Linked DNA regions of Medicago truncatula. Each later gene encodes a partner of the first gene's protein in a complex. Links are inferred from orthologs where the notes say so. Each region holds a gene or a part of one and is shown in the gene's direction. Other genes may lie near its edges.

Evidence for each region.
Region 2: the proteins of NADH dehydrogenase [ubiquinone] 1 alpha subcomplex subunit 6 (region 1) and acyl carrier protein 2, mitochondrial are in contact, whole or in part, in a cryo-EM structure (PDB 8BEE), measured with the Arabidopsis thaliana proteins. The link is inferred for Medicago truncatula from reciprocal best matches to the Arabidopsis thaliana genes AT3G12260 and mtACP2. Residues at the interface, in NP_566416.1 of Arabidopsis thaliana: Phe27, Asp28, Phe30, Arg31, Cys34, Arg35, Arg56, Tyr57, Ser60, Ile63, Arg64; in NP_176708.1 of Arabidopsis thaliana: Phe61, Gln62, Asp82, Ser83, Leu84, Asp85, Val87, Glu88, Met91, Ala92, Glu94, Glu95, Glu100, Ile101, Asp103.
Region 3: the proteins of NADH dehydrogenase [ubiquinone] 1 alpha subcomplex subunit 6 (region 1) and NADH dehydrogenase [ubiquinone] iron-sulfur protein 1, mitochondrial are in contact, whole or in part, in a cryo-EM structure (PDB 8BED), measured with the Arabidopsis thaliana proteins. The link is inferred for Medicago truncatula from reciprocal best matches to the Arabidopsis thaliana genes AT3G12260 and EMB1467. Residues at the interface, in NP_566416.1 of Arabidopsis thaliana: Lys120, Thr121, Phe123, Leu124, Phe127, Tyr128, Thr129, Ser130, Asn131, Tyr132, Phe133; in NP_568550.1 of Arabidopsis thaliana: Trp361, Arg362, Leu365, Ser621, Pro645, Thr646, Ala650, Arg651, Asp652, Trp654, Lys655, Ile656, Arg658, Ala659, Glu662, Val663, Asn671.

What each region holds. Positions count from the first base shown.
Region 1 is NC_053049.1:15,314,901-15,322,173, reverse strand, and holds the start of NADH dehydrogenase [ubiquinone] 1 alpha subcomplex subunit 6, read left to right. Parts: upstream 1-4,256; 5' UTR 4,257-4,408; coding exon 4,409-4,621; intron 4,622-7,273. UniProt on the Arabidopsis thaliana protein: Accessory subunit of the mitochondrial membrane respiratory chain NADH dehydrogenase (Complex I), that is believed to be not involved in catalysis. Complex I functions in the transfer of electrons from NADH to the respiratory chain.
Region 2 is NC_053048.1:37,332,794-37,339,938, reverse strand, and holds acyl carrier protein 2, mitochondrial, read left to right. Parts: upstream 1-4,359; 5' UTR 4,360-4,450; coding exon 4,451-4,666; intron 4,667-6,149; coding exon 6,150-6,326; 3' UTR 6,327-6,596; downstream 6,597-7,145. Other genes in the region: dehydrogenase/reductase SDR family member 7, read right to left, coding at 337-370, 459-514, 596-662. UniProt on the Arabidopsis thaliana protein: Carrier of the growing fatty acid chain in fatty acid biosynthesis. May be involved in the synthesis of short and medium chain fatty acids.
Region 3 is NC_053044.1:32,876,648-32,883,759, forward strand, and holds the start of NADH dehydrogenase [ubiquinone] iron-sulfur protein 1, mitochondrial, read left to right. Parts: upstream 1-4,021; 5' UTR 4,022-4,217; coding exon 4,218-4,620; intron 4,621-5,950; coding exon 5,951-6,197; intron 6,198-6,811; coding exon 6,812-7,106; intron 7,107-7,112. Other genes in the region: nicastrin, read left to right, coding at 382-646.

The sequences.
Region 1 (7,273 bases):
TTTTCTTCCTGAAAGCAATATTATCAAGCTTCTTCAAGGGAACTAATACGGATCAACGGAACCACCAAAGCTCCTGTCATGAATTTTGCAGCTGAGACATCGCTTGGAGTAGTTACTGTAAGAGCATTTGGCATGGTAGACAGATTTTTCAAAAACTACTTAAAACTTGTGGACACAGATGCTTCATTGTTCTTTCATTCTAATGTGGCAATGGAATGGGTAGTTGTAAGGGTTGAAGCACTTCAAAACTTGACTGTCATCACTGCAGCTTTGCTGATTATTCTACTTCCTCGGGGATATGTATCGCCAGGTAATATAATATAGGTTTAAATATATTTTTGGTCCATGCAAATATACAATTTTTCTGCTGTTAAACGCTGTAATTTCTATTTTTGTTTTTAGTCCTTATCAATATACCACTTTTTGTTTTTGGTCCTTGTTATTTTGTTTTAGTCCCTACTTTTTGTTCAAATTAAAATTAGATCGTGTAATAAGTGTGCAAAATTCATTTTAATCCTTACGCAGTTCATATTGGAGGGACTAAATCAAATGTTATGCATATTAACGAGACAAATTCCAGCATAAACAAATATTTATGGGGATAAAGTAAAACAACAAGGACCAAAAGTAAAATAAAAATGATAAAATTACAGGGACTCAAAGATAAAAATGGTAGATTTGAATGGATAAAAACAAATCTACACCTACGATATAATATGTCAATTACCATGATATGATTATGTTTAAACCAATAACTCTTGGCAACTCTCCTGTTCTGTGTTGCAGGCCTTGTTGGACTGTCTCTTTCTTATGCTTTTACCTTGACAGGAGCCCAAATATTTTGGACTAGATGGTTTTCAAATTTATCAAACCATATTATCTCTGTTGAAAGAATCAAACAATTCATTAACATACCAGCTGAGCCTCCTGCCGTTGTGGATCATAACCGACCTCCATCTTCATGGCCTTCCAAGGGCAAGATTGATCTTCAAGGCTTAGAGGTAATGTTCCATCCTTGTCTTATTTTCCACCTCTATTTTCGATGTTGTCGCCTATTTTATTTGTGACAACTGGACATAAAATTTTCCTATAATTTCTGTTTTTGTACTTCGATTTCAGATTAGATACCGTCCTAATGCTCCATTAGTCCTTAAGGGAATCACTTGTACATTTAAAGGAGGAAGTAGGGTCGGAGTTGTTGGAAGGACGGGAAGTGGAAAAAGTACACTGATTAGCGCTTTGTTTCGCTTAGTTGAGCCTTCAAGCGGTGATATTCTTATTGATGGGATAAACATTTGCTCAATGGGGTTGAAGGATTTGAGAATGAGGCTAAGCATAATCCCTCAAGAACCAACTCTTTTCAAGGGCAGCATTAGAACAAACCTGGACCCTCTAGGCCTGTACTCAGATGATGAAATATGGAATGTAAATGAACTAACTTCACAACTGGTAGAAAAATATGTATTTACTGAATGTAGCTGAATTTTATATGAGCCATTTAATACAAACCGGTTTGATTATATTTGATTTGTATGTTTAGGCTGTAGAGAAATGTCAGCTTAAGGAAACAATCTGCAAGCTACCAAGTCTCTTGGACTCTTCTGGTCAGTATTTTCTATGTTTGGTACCGGTTTCTTTCACATTGAAGCTACGCCTTCTCCTTTCTATTGTTCACTATATTATTTTACAACCAATAAATAAGGTATGAAAGTCTAATTCTGATAAGTTTTGCAGTGAGTGATGAAGGTGGAAATTGGAGCTTGGGACAACGCCAATTGTTTTGCCTCGGAAGAGTTCTACTTAAGAGGAACAAAATTCTTGTTTTGGACGAAGCTACTGCATCCATTGATTCAGCCACAGATGCCATTCTACAAAGAATAATCAGACAAGAGTTTGAAGAATGCACAGTTATAACTGTTGCTCACAGAGTTCCAACTGTAATAGACAGTGACATGGTCATGGTCCTATCTTATGGTATGTTAATTCCTTATTATTCTTTGCTTTTATTTCCTAGTAATATCCATTCCCTCATAATTTTCGGCCGGTTATTAAAGGGAAACTGGTGGAATATGATGAACCTTCAAAGCTAATGGATACCAACTCTTCATTCTCTAAGCTGGTAGCTGAATATTGGTCCAGCTGCAGGAAGAGTTCCTTCCCAAATATTAGCAGGAAGCATCAATGAATAATGGTTTAATGCAAAATAATGCTTATAAATAAATTGAAGGAAAATGGTTGGCAGGACAGTAGTTATGAGCCTAGAATAATAAAGGAAAAATATATGATTCCTTGAATTTTATTTTATTTTTGTTCTATAGACGAAGTGACAAAGATCGCTGAAACTCACACAATTCCCGGGTTTGAACCCGGTGAAGAGATTCAGCTCAACAACCTCAGCATTGTGAGTTGAGTTAGGTTTTACGGACATAAATTTTTATATATGTACATATTTCAATTTATTTGCTCTCTCTAATCTGTACCCAATAAATCTATTAAACCTGCAAATTAAATCGGTAGTAATTTCTTGCATAAATAATTGTCCACAACCTCATCTTTTGTTAGTAGACTTTTCAGTTTTTAGGTTATAACAATAGGCAAATTGTCATGAACCATATTATTGTTGAGTATGCCTCATAGTTACTCATAAGTGGACAAGCCAATCGAGGAAAGCGAGAATAATGACTTTAATGACGGTGACGTTGTAATCTAGACATAGTATTTGAGTACAAATTGTACACCATAAATAAACCCTAAGCTTGATATAACAGAAAGTGAGGTGCAGCCGCTTTATAGTCTCAAATGTATGCACAATTGAACTGAACTTCGTTATCAAACATTGTGTGATTTTTTATTCTTTTGAACCAGATTTACTGTGCTAACAGCTACGAATACGAAAATGTAATTAAGGAAAACTTAGTATTGGTTTGATTTTATATAAAATCTATAAATATGTATCATCATAATATAAATATAAAGGTTTTTTGCAAAGATAACATGATTTGACTCAATCAGATGAATTATGGCTGGTCTAAGTAAAGGGTCTTTTCATATCAAGTCCCATACTGGAAAGTTCTTCCTTGACATAACAAAGTCTCTTTCTCTAAGTCTCAAACTAGGGCAATAGTCTCCAATACCATCACCATGGTAGATAAATCTCTTGTTATCCACTTCAAAAATTGAATTTTGAATTCTATCTATGATTAAACCCTGAATAATGATTAAAAATTTAGTTTATCATGAATTTTAAAATAAAGACAAATAAAGATTTACTTCTTATATGGTTCGAAAGAATCTAGTGACGAAACTCACACACTAAATATTGAGAAGTGAGAAATTGCAAGTTCAAACTTGCGCCTTAACATATCAAATGTCTCTGCAACTACTATATGAGTTGTATTTAGAAAACAAAATTAGGAGCTAAGATTATTTTTTTATTGATTTAAATTTAAACTATGGTGGTCCCACATCAACATTTTTTTTGACAAAGTTTTAACATTATTCTTTATTTTATATTTTCATAAAATCTAATGGCCTAAAATAAAAGACAAAAAATCATTAAAAAAGGTATAGCACATGTTTGGAGGGTAAAGAGTGCAACCATGTGAAGCCTTGTTGAAGTGGTATGGTGACATTCTTAGTCTACCTTCTTCATTAACATAACCAAGATTAGTGTTAATCTCTGAGAAGATATTCACTTATTCCCAAATGCTTCAAAATAGTTTCAATGTAAAACACATTGGCATCGCTCACAATAACTCAAATCACACCCTAAAGCATGTGCTGATTTAATTGCAGGTACCATTATGTGAATTTATAGGAATCTTATGAAGCTCCATCATCATCATCTTGTCCTATAATTCCAAAACCAAAACACAAAATACTCACGTTAATTAACTATTTATTTATTTATAGACCATAAAAGATTATATAAAACAGAAAGATTGACACATACATCTGACATGACATGAACACGTTGACATTATCAATTTAAAAATATAGAAGATTAATACATATTTATCTATTTTATTATTATAATAAGATGGTTATAACATATAAGTCGTGATTAATATGTTCAACCATAATGAAAACTATGTGATCAAATAGAAAAAAGGTAAAAAAAATAATAATAATAAACCAATTAACATTATTACACCAAGATAAATACATTTTTGGTACGGCAAAAAAATAAAATATAATGTGATCAAAATTGCATTTAAGATAAGTAAAATTAACAATTAACATTATTACAGCAAGAGAAATAGATGTAGCAACAAGGTAAAATGCACACTCAATACGACATCGTTCGTATGTCCCGTGTCCTCCACAATTACACTTTCTAGTTCTCTCTTTCTCACCTCACCTCCAACAACAGAATCATCATTTCAAAGCTCGTTGAGTTGAATCGGAAATGGCGCAAGCGATTCGAAACGCGAAAGTACCACCAAACTCAGTGAATCTCTCTGAAGCGCGTCAACGAGTTTTCGAATTCTTCAGAAGCGCTTGTAGATCTTTACCTACCGTCATGGAGGTTTACAATCTTTACGACGTCGCTACCGTTTCTCAGCTTCGTTCTACCATCGCCGCTGAGATCCGCAAAAATGACCATATCACCAATCCCAAGGTACCTTTCCTTCCTTCTTCACCATTCATACTATAATACTATTCCAATTTCTTTTCTTTTTTTTAATTTCATGAAGGTAGTGTTTCAAGCTGGAGTTGTTAGATTGATTCAGAAAATGGTTATATGAATGTACATGTTTTGATTTAATATTAATTGGAATATATTGAAACCCTAGGGAATATCACTTTGTTGGCTCTATTGCGCTTAATTGTGTATTATGTTGACCGATTTTGGTTTATTGGTGATTAGTTACTTTTGGATGTGGTTTGAGGTAAATTGGTAAATTTATTTGTAGTAAAAGACAAATTTGTAATAGAAAATGCTACATAGATTTTTTTGCATTCCTTTTGTATATAGGTGTAGATAAAGATTGATATTCTCTTAGGCAGGAGAAAAACACACGACACTGACACATTGACACCAATAAAATTTTGAGAAAATGACTTGATTCAGTGTAATATAATGTTTATTTTCACCAAATTTATGTTTCTTTAGATTCACATTTGAAATTGAATGAGTGTTTTGTATAGATTATACGGGATTAGGCTTGCGGATGGTGCGTAATAGTTGGATATCTCAATTTTACACTTGAAGTGGATATGGAAGTTGGAAACTAACTTGCTTGTTTAAAATCAATAGGGATTTAAAAGCTTTTTTTTACAATGGATTTTAAAAGATGTTAGGTTGTAGTTGCTTATTGTCAAATGGATTACCTTGAATCTATTTCTCTGCTTCTGGTGTGTAAAACCTACCTAGCTGATTTAGAATTCTTGTGTAAGTTATTTAGTGTATCTTTGGATCAGTGTTTGCCAAACGTCATTTCAAATATACATGATTTGGCTGATTTTTTTATTTTTTTTTTCGTTCTTTCTAAAACCAAATTTGCTGTAAATTTTTCAACGTAATGTGAAATCCACTTGGAGGCAAGGTATTAGGCTTATTAGAGTCTTTCTCTTGGACTAATGAATGTTATCCTAGGCCTTGTTTGGATGGAGCTTATGGAAAATAGCTTTTGCAAATAAATAAGGTTTTATGTTAATTTATAAGTTCTTGCTAACAAAAATTGCATCTTCATAAGTCGTTTTTTCATAAACTAACTTAACAAGCTTATAAATAATACACAAAAGCTTATTTATATACATAAGTTGTTTTACATAAGCTCTAAAATAAGCCAATCCAAACAGGGACCTAGTCTCTCTTGTGCTATGTTTTTTCCCTGTACCTGTCTTTCTTAGTACCTTACATAGTGACAACTGTAACCATAATTGTTGTCGGCTGTATACTATCCCATAGCTCTATATATATATATGTTCATAGAGCCCTTGTAAGTTGTAACAACAACTATCCATGTTTCAGAATATCAATAATATGAGAACAAATTTTTCTGAATCTGATCTGATTCTACTATCGTATGGAATTAACGTTACAATGCCTTGGATATGATCTTTCTTCCTCCCTCCTCCACCGCTTCACGGCCTTACTTATCCAACTCATGGATCCTCAACCGGAGAATGTTGTTCCTCCTCCACAGTAGAACGTTCTGCCACCACAAGCTCCTTCTTCTCCGAGCATAACAGTCTCACAGAAGATCCCTGAAAAGTTGGATGCTCAAAAGTCAAAACTATCTTCTGTGGCACCAACAAGTTGAACCTGTTATTTGCAATCTTTGTCGCCATCACTTCCTTCAGAATCCACAGATCCCTATGAAATTTTCCATTGTCGAAGGAATTTGCAGTGGTGGAACTTCAACGTAAGGAGGATGAACAAATTTCTCCAGTCGAGGATCAATGAGTTGCAGAAGTAAGGCGGTGAATTGGTAGAGGAGGGGAGGGAAGGAGAAGAAGAATAGTACCCGAGAAATCTTAATCATGGTTCTTTGATACCATAATAGGATCATAGCAAATTGAGAGAAAACTCTTTCTCATATTATTGATAATCTGAAAAATGAATTCTTGTTCCAAGAACTCTGTTAACCTTTATATAGAGCTATGGGGACAGCCTAGATATATTCTAACTATAGCTGTCACTATATAGGTAGTTACACTTGCAAAGACAGTTGCATGAAAAATATCTGATACAAGAGGGACTAGGATAACTTCCAATAGTACAAGAGAAAGATTCTAATATTCACTCATTGAATTTGCTTTTTGACTGTTGTACTAGTATACTTCTTTAATGTTAGCTAGTATTTACAAAGCTCTAAGTTTTTGTTTACTGGCAATGATTATTCTCAATAGGCATAGTGATGTATTAAACACTGAGAAATGCATACAGTTTTGTTTTTTTTGGTCGAAAAAATGAAAACAATTATCTAATGGATATTAAGGTTATATTTAATTTGAATTAAAGTTGTTTTTTCACTAATAGTTGTAAAAATATCCCATTACTTTTACTTCATTCACTGTTCTCAAATATTTATACAAAAAATGGTGAAAATATTATAAACTTATCTTCACTAGTTCTTGTAAAAATCTTCAAAAGCAGGATATAAAATGAAACTAACATGACACATTTATAATTATTGTTGGCAAAAAAATGATTTTTTTTCAAATTTAATAGGCCTTAAGCGTATCAAAATTCACAGTTTGGTATGTTGGGTTTCTTAGTCTTTGGGGAATTTAGTGACATAATTTTCAAGGGGATAGAAGTTAT
Region 2 (7,145 bases), on another chromosome or scaffold:
TTGCGAAAAGACAGAGAAGACTCAAAAATTTGAATTAAGTCGAGCAGGTTGGTCCTTTTGATAACTTGGATCTAATTTACTTTCAAATTAGTCCCTAAATTATATCACTTACGAGGAAATGAGTTTTTGAATTGTATCACTTATTGTGAAACTACTCCTTACAAGTTAACAGAAGGACCAAGTTGTCAGACGTCATTCAAAATCAGGTTCTTTTACTAGTCTCCAACAAAGTGATTTCATTCTGGGAGAATTTGAATTAAATTATGAAATATAAATAATCCTATGGAAATATAAGTGTGAAATGAATTAAATAAAAGAGTATAGTTATAGTTATACCAATTCCACGACTGGCACCAGTAATCCAAAAAACCTGGAAAGAAATGAAACAAATAACATAAGAACTGAATCATTTCATTTCAGTATGGTATCAATAATAGCAGTAGCATGAGAAATTCAACCTTATCTTCAATTAGTTCATGTTTTGGTTTTTTCTTTGACATCAAAGTGAAATCACCTAATAAATTGAACAAAACAGTAATAAGCATCCAAAAAAATTATTAAAATAAAGAGATTTAAAAAGTGAGTGAGAAAATACCATAGGCAGTGGCGAATTTGAATAAGAAGAGTAACAAGAGGAAGATAAAGAGGAACAGAACCAACATTGCTGCTGCTCAACTGCTACAATACACTGCAAACCAAGGATGATACCAGGCGTTTAGAAATTATTAGAATCAACTTTTGAACGTTTTAAGGTCATTATCATTCATGGCGTAATTAATGATATTTCAACTTTAACAATCATATTATATCAAAATCTATTAAATTATCATTATGATTATTAAGTTTCTTTTTTTTTTTTTTTAAGGATTTATGATTAAGTTTTTACTACTATAAAATAACTTATTTTCGACATTTGCAAATATTACCATGTCCTCTTGTTAAAGAGAATATATTTGATTCACATTTTAAAATATTAAATTTCTTTCGATTTAATTAACACCGAACTCTTTAGATGGAAGAATACATTCAATTTATATTGTAACTAATATAATCATTAGCATCATCGTAACACATTTTCTTTTATCATGCTTATTTCCATGACACTTTTCAATGTGTATCTTACCCATCTCTATTACAATTCTCAATTCTCTATTTTGTGTGATGTTTTAGGATTTGAAAAATGCCTTATTTATTTATAGCCATAAAAAGTGTATGTACAAAGGTAATCAAAGGTAGGCAAAAGTCATGATAATTAATTTTAAAATATAAATTGTGAAATTCTCTCAAAGAAAAGTTTAAAAGTTCAAAACTACAAGAATAATAATTTTAAATTATAAATTGTGAAATTATCTCTTTTTTTGGTGGTGTCTGGAATTCGAACATTAGACCTTACATATATCATGCATTGTCCTTACCAACTGAGTTAAGTAAATTGTGAAATTCTCTCAAATAAAGGTTTAAAAGTTCAAACTACAAGAAAATTTGTGAATATTTATAAAGTAATGATATTAATGAAATAAAGGAATTAAATAATGTTATAGGCTAGAAAATAGTAGAAAATATTAATGAAATCAAGGAAAGTAGTAATACTACGTATTCAGTATTCTATAAAAGAAAATGATAGTAGCAAAACTCAGCATGCAAAGTGTAGAAAAGAAAAGTATTATAGATTTAAGTTCATACCTCAACATATCAAATGTACTCCAAACAAAACCACTCTTTGATTTATCATCATAAGTAATATGTTTCTACTTATTTTATTGGTATATTTTCATCTTTTTTTAGAATTGGTATATTTACATCTTTATTTTAAATTTGCAAATAGTAACTTGTTGAAAAAAAATATTTTTTTAAATATAAATGGGTTTATTTGTATACATTTTTTAAAATTATATCCTTTACATTTTTCTTTAAAAAAGCGTAATGATTTATTTATATTTGGTAACATTGATTTGTCTCTCTAGGAGAGAAACAAATAAACCTTGTGGAGCAAAATAAGGAGAATGACCTCTTCATGGCCATATAAAAAAGAGAGAGTGTATCAATCTCAAAGATGATTTTCTTTTTTTTTTTAACAATAAAAAATGAAACTTATATTAACAAACCACGGGCACCTCCAAGTACAAGATGTATTAGGAAGGCTCATAATATTTACAAATATACAAAGTCAAACAAAAATTAGCCTAGTCCCAAACAAGCTAAAGGACTTGACCACCACAATTGGAACCCAAAAACAAAAACAACATTATGAGCTTTTAGCCACCAAATAGAGTTCTGCTTTACTTTATCCATCAACTGATCAATAGAGCTACATGTATTGTTAAACAACCTTTGATTACGATCATTCCAAATGAGCCACACAGTAACCAACCAACCAAGCTGCAAGAAGGAGCACCTTGCACGAACTCCACCTGCTGAATGAGAGAACTGAAGGAAGTGATCTGAGACAATAATGGGGTCAGGGCCTAAGACACCAAGCCAAGACCGCACCTGACTCCACAAAGTGCCATAAAAACTACACGAAATAAATAAATGCTGAGAAGTCTCGATTTGGCCGCACCCTAGCAAACAACCTGCGTCCGAAGCTGAGAGGATACCGCGCTGCATCAGATTTGATCGTGCAGACAACTTATTTTTTACCAACCGCCAAACAAATATTGAGACCTTAAGGGGAACATGTTTATGCCAAACAAGAGCATCTGCACCTTCCACCTGAGGAATGTCGGGAGTAGTCAGTAAAAGGTAAGTGTTGCTGACTGTATAACCTGCAATAGGATCCATATGCCATCTCCAAGTGTCTTTCACAGTGCACTGCAAGAAAACATTACTAAGTAAAATAATACACTCCCCTAGCATCTCCTCCTCCCACACCCACAACCTCCTCCTCCAACTCCAACATGCTATTAAAATTCAACTACGAAGAGTCCAGTTTCGGCAAAATTGGAGCCAATGGAACATACTTGCAATAAAAGATCCTTGAAATTCCAACCCGTAATGAAACTAACAATAACCCACATGTAAATAAAAATCTAGTTAATGAAGAAGGCAATTAGGAAAATTAGAATACACCAATTGTTCAAATTCCAATAATGGATCCTCGAAATGTAATCTAATCATAGTCAATTGAAACCAAAATGCATGTAATGTGGTCCACCAAGTTAGATAGTAAAACATTGCAGGAGAGGCACCAAATAAAAAATATGTCGAAAGAGTGACACTTGAAGCCAACGAGGATTGGGAGTGATCGACGGTGCGCATGACACATATAATGACCGACTCTTGGCATTCTTTTAGCAAAGCAATACATGAGTGAATCAAATTACATCGAAATGAAAGAGATTCTGAAACCATGAAAGTACGAGACTATATGATTGAAGGAAGGTCATAAGGATTGATCGATACTACCTATACCAACAATGAAAAATTCTTTTATGGTCACAACCCCAAATGAAAAGCATTTGGGCACACTCACATCAAATGGAAAAATTAAAACAAAAATAATATATTTACATCAATCAACATCATCTAATTTTATTCTCATCTAAAATTTAGGGTTGTGCTCATAAAAGAGCTTCTCACCAACAATATGCATATTATTTTTTTATAGCCCTTGAGATAAGAATTTCATACTTAAGCGTGCTTAACTTTGAACAATTTTTGGATGGATAACTCTTTGGAAGCTACCATAAAGTGTGTGAATGATGACAAAACACAATAAAAAGAGTCGTGTTGGTTTTTAGGATTGATCGACAAACTTGAAAGCAGACTAGAGCATTACAAATGGTATCACAACATATCTCTTTCAATGGCTCAGGAACGAACCAAGCGATATACAATGAAGTATAATTAAATTTATGTATGATATTTTTACACAAATAATATTATTATTTTTGATTTAGATTAAAACTAAATCCAAGAGTGTTTCCTACAATTTTTATCAATGAAATACGTAACCGCTAAGATACTTAGGAGTGATTACACTTAGATTTTGATTTTTTTTTTGTGTTTGTTGGTTTGGTAGTGCCGATATGTTTAAGTGTTTTTTTTATATTCTTTTAATCTTAACATTTCTTGCTTCGATTGTTCTGCTTAATAGTATTTCTTATCTAACTTTTTAATAAAAAAATTTGTTACCACTTGGACCAATAATTTCTCCTTTATAAAGTACATATATATATTAATATTTTTTGACAGAAAGGTACATATATTTGAATTAAATTCACATGAATACACCATAGCCTAGATTATGGAGTTGACATAAGCAACGTATGCATCTTCACAAACACAACCTTGAAATTGGGCTTGGGCCTAACGGGTAAAACCCATAAAACCCAATATTAGAACCAAAGGTTTCATTTCATCTAACTTCACTATTCTCATCTCATTCATCGCGTGGAGCTATAAGCAGAGAGAGAGAGAGAGAAGAGTGAGGTTTTTGACATCTACAACAATGGCGGCGAGAAGAACCGGTTTACCTCTGATCAACTACTTGAGAGTGCAGGTTGATTCTCGTCCACTGAATCACCAATCTCCTTTCCGTCTTATTCCCAATTTTTTCCTTCGTCGCTTCAGCGAAGAGGTTAGGGGTACGTTTCTCGACAAATCTGAGGTCACAGATCGCGTCGTTTCTTGCGTCAAAAACTTCCAGAAAGTTGATCCTTCTAAGGTATATTTATTCTTCTACTATTATTATTATTATTCGTTTTTTTTTTCAATCTCCTAATTATTGTTTCATTCATCATTAACGTGATGTCATTGTTAGGTTTAGCTGTTAACTTTGCCGGTTTATTTGCCATTAGTTCTTGATTTATTTTAACTTATTTTGCAAAAAAATTATTTCCGATAATTAGGTAATGTTTGGATCAACGGATTAATTAAGCACTAATAGCATAATTCTTTATTCCTATAACTAAAGATAAAGTGAATTACATTGTTTTCATATAAGTTATAGGGCGTGTTTGGATAAACAGCTTATTTGCAGCTTATAGCATAGCATGATAAGTGCATATGTATAAGCTTACATAAGCTACTTATATAGCGAAAGGTAAAATAAAGTTAAATTATTTTTGTATATGCTATAAGCTATTTTTATAACCTACATTGGAGAACTTATGAAATTAACATGAAAAAAGCTTATGAAAATTGTCATAAGCTGTTTTCACAAGTTCTTCTGAGTCTCACAAAACTTATGTCGTATATAAGCTCTGATAAGCCAATCCAAACACTTCATAAGCTACTTTGGAGACCTTAAGGAAATAATCTAGCTTATGGATGTGTCATTGGTTGTTTCCATAAGCTCTCCTGAACAATGTTCGAATGCTTACGTGAGTAGATGAGCTCAAATATATCAAACAGACTCATGACCTTCCTTTAATGTTGCTACCCACTTTACCATGCCATCAATGAGCAATTCTTATATGAAGCTAAAGGCACCAGTAAAATGCAATGCAAAAATATCTATATAATCCTTGGTTTTGATTGGTTGTGTTGGTAAATTTTTTCTAAAGTTCTGTAGATATTGTATCCATGTAAGAATTACCCTCAATTCTCAAATACTATCATTTTTAAGCTACACTTGTTTGTAGACATCATATAGCAACCGATAATAATATTGTTTTAGTTATATGAGGTGTATTCTATGCTAGATCTTTCATCAAAATAAACATTACTGTTTGCGATGAAATTATCACTGCCCAGTGTCAGATCTCTCTTAAGTGAATATTTCATGGATTAAGGCTTTGTTTGGATAAACTTACAAGTTACAGCTTAATTAATTGATTATCGTATAAGTACGTAAGTATAACAATTTCTATCACATGAGATGAAATAAAGTCGAACTGTTTTCAAATAAGTTATTAGCTGTTTTCCTAGAGAGCTTAGGAAAGAAGTTAAATGGACATGTCGTAAGCTGTTTAAATAACCTCTCCCAATTAGTCTCACAAGTTTATATGCTAGTATACAAATAAACCAATCCGAACTGGGCTATAGTGTAAACTTGCACAACTGTTAAATAACCTTACACTTTACTGTTTGAAGTGTGTGTGTCATTTTGGAGAATTCAAATCCCTCTGCCAGCAATTGTGTACTATTTTAATTTTAGCTTATGCTCTCTTGTTAACATGGAGCCTGTGCTTCTTTCCATTTGTCAGGTTACCCCAAGTGCTCATTTCCAGAATGACCTTGGATTGGATAGTTTGGATGCTGTAGAGATTGTGATGGCTCTTGAGGAAGAGTTTGGGTTTGAGATTCCTGATAATGAAGCAGACAAGATCAACTCTGTTAATCTTGCAATTGACTTCATTGCATCTCATCCTCAGGCAAAGTAGTGGAATTCATGAGGCTAGCTGTAAAATTTTTATTTTCTTTATCATAAAGTAGTGTAGAATCATTCAACTTAAGACATTTTTTGCTCCACTTGTTTGCTTCTAAAATTGAACTTTGTTTCCTCGCCCTTCTAAATCCCAGAAGTGTGTTTGGCTGGGGATGTGCCAGCTTGAGTTGTATTTTACTTTTGTTAGTATTGGCATCACATAACTTTGCATTTTGTGCTCCCATTTTTCATGTCAATAAAAATTGTTAGATTTACGATTATAGAATATTAAGGTCTTATCGCTGTCCTCACTTCTTAATGTATGCTCATGAATCGTACTATGTTTGATTGTCTTGTTTGCATGTTATGTGAGGGTATAACTTCATCTGTAATGTTTCAATTACATGTAGTCTGTATGAACGATAACTTGATCAGGGATGTCGTGTTTTGTTGTGTTTCTTTTTTGAATGACAAATGTTAGTTTAATTATTGTTATGTTAGGGTTCAAACCATGTGATTGTCACTCCTCTCCTTATCTCCCCCATTAGTTTTCTTATCTGTGCCATGATTTGCCAGTTATGTTTAGTCTCAACGCATGATAAGTGGCTCCCCAAAATTCAATTGTCATTTTGCTACTAATATGTTAAGACATTATCAAGTTGTTATGAAACCAGTATAAACCCTAATGCCTAGCCATCTGAACCTCTCATCCTCTTATATCTATTTGTCATGGACTCTACAAACTTATTGAGTTGCCGTGTCGACATATTTTGAACTAGCATTTTGTTCATTTTTCAATTTGTTATGATCTCTTATTTTCTCTCCACTGTGAATT
Region 3 (7,112 bases), on another chromosome or scaffold:
ACAATGGTTGTATAAAATGTGATTTTGGCTAATTTCAAATCATGTGTTTATAAATATGTTGGATTGACTTTCTACACATACACGCTCACAGGTTCTCACACTCATGTGCATGCATATTTACCACACTTGGTAAAAATTTGGATTAACCCAGTTGATTACAGAATCCATACTGTTTCTAAGATTTATGTCATAATTGGCACCTTTGTTAAGTTTGCTTATGCGATGCATGTAGTTGGAGTAGACTTCATGCTTTTCATGTTTAGACTGTTCACGTGTTATATGCCCGCTTCCATTTTCCTGGTACTGCACTTGTGAACTTGACATGATTAAACGGCTAAGTTGATGCTCGGTAATTTAATATTGATGTAAAATCTTTTACAGGTACGTTCCAGCATATTCAACACGGTTATCATTTGAATCAGGAGTATGGAGTGTTTTGCCCCCAAATTCCTCAGACAAAATGGGGGTCGTAGATCCAGTCTGGACAGAAAGTAACTGGAATACAGTAGGCATTCGGATCTACACAGTCCAAATTGCTGCTTATGACCGGGTTGTTCTGTTTGGGGGAATGACTCTTACACTCTTGGCATACCTTGGAATAGCAGTTACAAGAACTTTCGTTGCCAAAGCAACAAAGAGGGATTGACACTATTAAATTTATGAAAGCTAACTACTAAATTTTGTGAAACTAGGGCAAAATTAAATAGGTTGATAGGAAAATTACTAGTTTCTGGAAAATTTGTAAGGATGTGAATTATTTAGGCCACATTCTTGTGCTTGTGAATTTATCTGCAACAAGACCATTTTTTATCACTTGTAGTTAAGTGTTAGGAAATGTAATGAAAACAAAAAGTAAAAAGCTTGGTGTGTTTGTGTTGTGTATTTCTGTAGTCCTAGTTAGTGAGCAGCAGCGTAATTTTTAATTTAATCCTTGTTAAATTATTAAAGTTCCAGTTAAGCTAATTGAATTGCGACACCTAAGTATAGTAGATGTAACGTTTAATTTGATTTTCTAAACATTAATCAATACATACTTTAGCAGAAATAGACATCAAATATACTACTAGATGTTACCCAATATTTCTCAACAAAAGAGGTTTCAATCGATCCGATATTTGATTTGAAATTAATTTTCATATATTGTCGGTGTTAAAGTTTTTATATTGGTAATCAATCACAAATCATTATTTTTATGGCGATTCAACAATTGTGATCGACTATTTGTGCATATGAATTAAATCTATTTTATTTTGATCAAACCATCTCAGTGTCTTGATTAAATTGAAAAGACTTAAGCTTATTAATAAGCCATTAGTTTCTTCTTTTGGTACAACGTTCTCCAAAGTTCTAGTGGACGTGCTTATTTTTTTCTTCATTGAAATCGAAAGGCTGAAAGCAGACTTGGAAATAGGCTTCATGTCCGAAGCATTTATATTGAAAGGCATGAAAGGTGACACGGTTACTCTATTAACGCCCTAAATACTACTCCCTCCATTCATTTTCTTTTGATGTTTTAGCTCTTGACACAAATTTTAAGGAGTAATTAAAGTATATAAACATTTGTGTGTTTTTTACTTAAATGTCCTTATTTATCATTAAATTCACATGTGATAAACCAAAGGTCACAAGTACTTTAATAGTTTATTGTGTTTTCCAACAAGGGTAAACTTGAGAAAACAATAATAAATTCACTAAAACATCAAAAGTTTTGGAATATAGTTGAAGTTCTAAAACATCAAAAGAAAAGGAATGGAGGGAGTATAAACTTAGTGTTAGTTGAAACCGATGAAGATTCAATAACGTTTGAAATTGAAACTGGTCACTATTTTCAATAATGTTTGGTTCCATTTTAGGTGAGAGTTTAGCAAAAGCTACGCTTTGCAACTTTATCACAAAGTCTTTTTCGTGAATTCAAACATAATTGATTTTGACATATTTGATTGCTTTTAAGTAGAATTAGTTTTTGCTCTGGATAATGATTTAAAGTTAAATTAAGAGCTTTTGCTTCAACAATATATATTTATTCTTAAATTTATTTCATATCGTGCTCGTAGTTTGTCACACGATTTAAGGAACTCTCATGTTGAGTTTGTCTATATATAAGTCAATGAGCTTGTCCATACACTTTTAAAGGTGACCCCATTTTTAGTTGGATTGAACGTTTCTCTTGATATCCCAAATCTCAACATTTTATTCAAGATACTACTATGAAAGAAATGCTTTGAGCTTTTTATCGCGAAAAACAAATATCACTTTACAATTTACATTCAGCTCATTTTTATTCGAAAACAATTTTACACGATCAATGCATTCAAAAATCAGTTGTTCTCACTACATAGCTAAACATACGAACTTGAGTCATTAAAGATCAATTGAGATAGGTTAGTTTAGCTTCTTCAACAAAAAAAAAGATCATCTGAGATGTGAGCTAGCCAAACGGCCAACCGAACGTTGAATATGATCAGTAACTTATTTAACTCTAGCAAACCATGAAACAGCTTGATGTTCTCAACCTGTAAAGATCATACATGAGTTTGATTATGCTCCCAAAAATCCTCACTTACATTGTGGGAATTGAAAGCCTTTTAACTATACTAACCCTTTATCAATGCGCGAACCTAGACTCTCTATTCGAGTGAGTTCCACTTCTCTTGAAGCGTAATATCCTTATAATTAAGCCAAAAAATTTATAGCATTATTTCTTAAAAATTGAAGATACCTTAACATTTAAAAAATATAGCTTCTCTTCACGTGTCTTTATACACTCTCAAATATATCATTTTCTCTACATGTAACTAAACAATTATTAAAAATTGATCTTCAATATTTTAGGGCATTGTTTAAGCATCTTAAAGTAATAACTTTTACATTTTTTTTTTTTATGGAAAAGTGCTTATAGCATTTCATTGATAATAAGAGTTTCAATACATTCGGGTAAATTAAAATAAACAACCGGACTAGCTAGTAACGTGACTTCTCTTGAAAGAGCATGGGCAACCTCGTTGGTTTGTCGCCTAACAAACTCTATCCTAGAGTTAGAAAACAGGGAGCTAAAAAAAAAAACGACAAGATGAAATAATACAACAAAATTTAGTAACTTTTACATTGAAAATATATAATTATGACTTTTATATGCGTTTGACTTGTATTTTTAAGACAATTTTCTTTTGAGAGTTCCTTAAACAATGTCCTTGGAAAATTTGTTAGCAAAACTCATACATTAATCAATCTAATAAAGTTTCAATTAGTGGTTTTGCGGGGTCAAAGCTAGATTTGAAGAGGGGGCAATAAATTTTAATGACTAGTTACAAAATATTTGAAGGAGTAGGGTCAAGTGCCCCTATTTTGGTCAAGTGACTATAGCTCACACAATTTAATTGTGGAGAAGTGGGGTGTCTGAGGTTCGAACCCCGGCCCCTGCATATAATATGCAATATCCTTACCAACTGAGTTAAGCTCACGGGATAAATGTCCCCCATTTAATATAGTGGATTTGTGCCCGTGTCCCGTGGACATTGCTTAAGGAATCCATAAATAAAAAATTTGTTTTGAAAGTATATAAGTTCTTATGTTTGATCAAATATTGATTACACTCCATTTTCTTAAAAATTTATTTGCTTTAGTTGTTTAACCAATATCTCTAGACATCGTCTTTACATTTTCCAAAAAGATTATGGGATGTGTTATTTGAACAACCACTTGATTGACAACTTATTGAACAACCATATATTTATAAAGAAAAAATAGGTATTGACACAAAAATCAAAGTAACAGCAAGATAAAGTAAAAACATATTGAGAATAGAGTGAAAAAGTTATCTCAAAAGTCGTGATAAAATGAACGTACAAATATCATTTCTTTATTTGATAAATGATATTTGTACAATCATTTTATGACAATTTTTTTTTCTTACTAATATTATATTTTTAATTTCTTTCCCGTCAATAGCTATAGAAGTTATGACATGAATGGTTATTCAAATAATACAACTCTTATATATCTACTTGCCTAAGAGCATGTGATAAACGGGTCCGAAGCAAACCCGAATCTGAAATCGGATCAATTCAACTATCTCACCCATAACTCCATACAAAATTCATTTCCTTCTTCCTTCACCTCTCCCACCTCACTCTCCCATCTTTTCTCAAATTCAACCTCCCATCTCCGATCCAACACCCTTCTTTCTCACAAACTCACAATCAATTGATTGAATCAAAATGGGGCTGGGTTTGTTAGCTTCCAAGACCCTCCGACCAACCACCACTCGCCTCCTCCTCCTCCGTTCAATCACCACCAAACCAGAACTCCGCAAACCCGAACCCGCCGCTCAACCCCAACCCGAACAGCCTCTCGTCGATCTCACTCCCCGTACACCCGTCGCTGGCGCTAGAGTCCATTTCACCAATCCCGATGACGCTATTGAGGTTTTCGTCGATGGTTATCCCGTTAAAATTCCAAAAGGATTCTCTGTTCTTCAAGCGTGTGAGGTTGCTGGTGTTGATATTCCTAGATTTTGTTATCATAGCAGACTTTCCATTGCTGGAAATTGTCGTATGTGTCTTGTTGAGGTTGAGAAATCTCCTAAGCCTGTTGCTTCTTGCGCCATGCCCGCTCTTCCTGGTTAGATTCTTCATTTTTTTTTTAATTTATTTATTTATTTTATGTTTCTGGATTTGCATTTCATTGATAATTTTTTGTATGTGTTTTGTTTATCTCAAAAAGTTTAATTTTTTATTTTTTTTATTTTGTTTCATGTGATGGATTGTTGGACGGTAAAGAATCAACATGAGAGTAAAATAAGCATAGCAAAGATTAGGATGTTGTGTTAGATGTGTGGTACAATTTAATTAAAAACACAATATTAGAGAGATAGAGTTGGGGTAGCCACCTATTGGAGAAAAGATGGTAGAAACTCGACTTAGGTGATTTGGGCTTGTAGAGAAAAGACCTGTAGATTTTGTAGTAAGGAGTGTAGATTAGATGGAGAATAGTCTGATCACTAGAAGCAAAGCTAACCTAGAAAGACTTTAAGAGAAACTATTGAGAAATATGTAGAGATTAATTAGTTGGGTAGAAATATGATACTCCCTCCGTTTCAAAATACATGTCCATTTTGGAGAAATTGCAGTAACCAAGAAACCAAATAAATTTTCTTATTTTTGATGAAAATATGTGTGTGTTTTCTATAATACCCTTAACCATTTATTATTTCTTTTTTTTTTTCTCTACAATAAATATGCAAGGGCATTATTGACAAGACAATAATTAATGTTGCATTGAAACTTGAAAGTGACAAGTATTGTGAAACAAAATTATTCTCTAAAATGGACAAGTATTATGAAACGGAGGGAGTATATGATAGAACATTATTGCGACGTTTGTTATTGTTTGTTGTTGTTTGAGTTTCATCTTGTTTGTGACTTGAGTGATCTTTTGATTAGTTCAAGGCTAAGGGTATTGAACTTGGTTGATGATTGTGTTGTTGCTTGTTGTTATTTTCAAATTTTTAGTTTGTTGAACGTGTTATGAATTTTGATACTAGTGAACCATCTATTACATTTCCTTTTAACCGTCTCGATGAAATTTCTGTTTTTATTTTTGATTTAGCTTTTGTCTGTTTATTTTTGCTGTTAGTTTTGTTCAAAAATAAAATCTAGTACTTTGTCTTTAAGTTTTTTTTGCATACGCTGATTTTCAGATTTTGCGTTACAACTTATACTTCTTTCTACTTTAATTTTTTAATTAGAGAGATATTTGATATAAAATTATCATATGTTTAGCTGGTTTGGGGATATCATCTATTTTTTTTTACCCGATCTTACTTTTAAATTCATTTGGTATTATGACACCGACACACATAAACGACCTTGATTTTGTTTAGTTGAGGTTTTTAACTATTTATTGTTTTGATTCTTGTTAAAAATGTAATATGATCATATGTTCAATTTAGGGATGAAAATCAAGACCGACACACCTATTGCCAAGAAAGCACGAGAAGGAGTGATGGAATTTTTATTGATGAATCATCCATTAGATTGCCCAATTTGTGATCAGGGTGGAGAGTGTGATCTTCAGGATCAGTCAATGGCATTTGGTTCTGATCGTGGTCGTTTCACTGATATGAAGAGATCTGTGGTGGATAAAAATCTTGGACCTTTGGTAAAGACTGTGATGACACGGTGCATTCAATGTACAAGGTTCATTTTTCCCTGCAAACTTGATTATCTTTACGTACACATTTTAATAACTATATCTTACCTTGGAAGCTAGAAATTTGTTGTGACTTTTAATGTCTAAAAGAAAGTATCAAGTGGTCTATTCATGTTAATAGAGTATGTTTATGATAATCTTGTAAGAATTAAGGACCTCATTGAGTTGCACACACACACACACACATATATATATATATATATATATATATATCTTTTTTATTTTTTTATTTTTTTAAATTAAGCAGTGGTCATTGTTACAGTATGATAGTTTGCGAGGGAACTTATGGGTCAACTTTTTCTGTATATGATTAAAATAATAATCTGAACTGATGCCTCTTCAAAAATAAAATAATCTGAACTGATGATTTAGTTTGGTTGTATGTTTTACTTACTCTCATGTCAGCTAAGGGCCAGCTAGGTTTCTTTTAATTTATGGTTAATGACATTTGGTAGCAATAGGCGTTGGCTATTTTGTAAAACCTAATCTTCAATATTTGGTAGCCTTCCTCTTTTTGTTGTCAATTAAATGTTATATGTATCGTGATTATTTTATCTGAGTTCCTTAATGGATCTTGTGGAATATCACTTTCTTCCCACAGGTGTGTTAGATTTGCATCAGAGGTTGCAGGGGTTCAGGATCTTGGCATGTTAGGTCGTGGTAGTGGAGAAGAGATTGGAACATATGTTGAAAAACTCATGACAAGTGAACTCTCTGGAAATGTAATAGATATCTGCCCTGTAGGAGCACTCACTTCAAAACCTTTTGCATTTAAAGCCCGGAATTGGGAGTTGAAGAATACAGAGACCATTGATGTTACTGATGCTGTTGGTTCCAATATTCGAATTGATAGCAGAGGACCTGAAGTCATGCGCATTGTTCCTCGTTTAAATGAGGTTAGA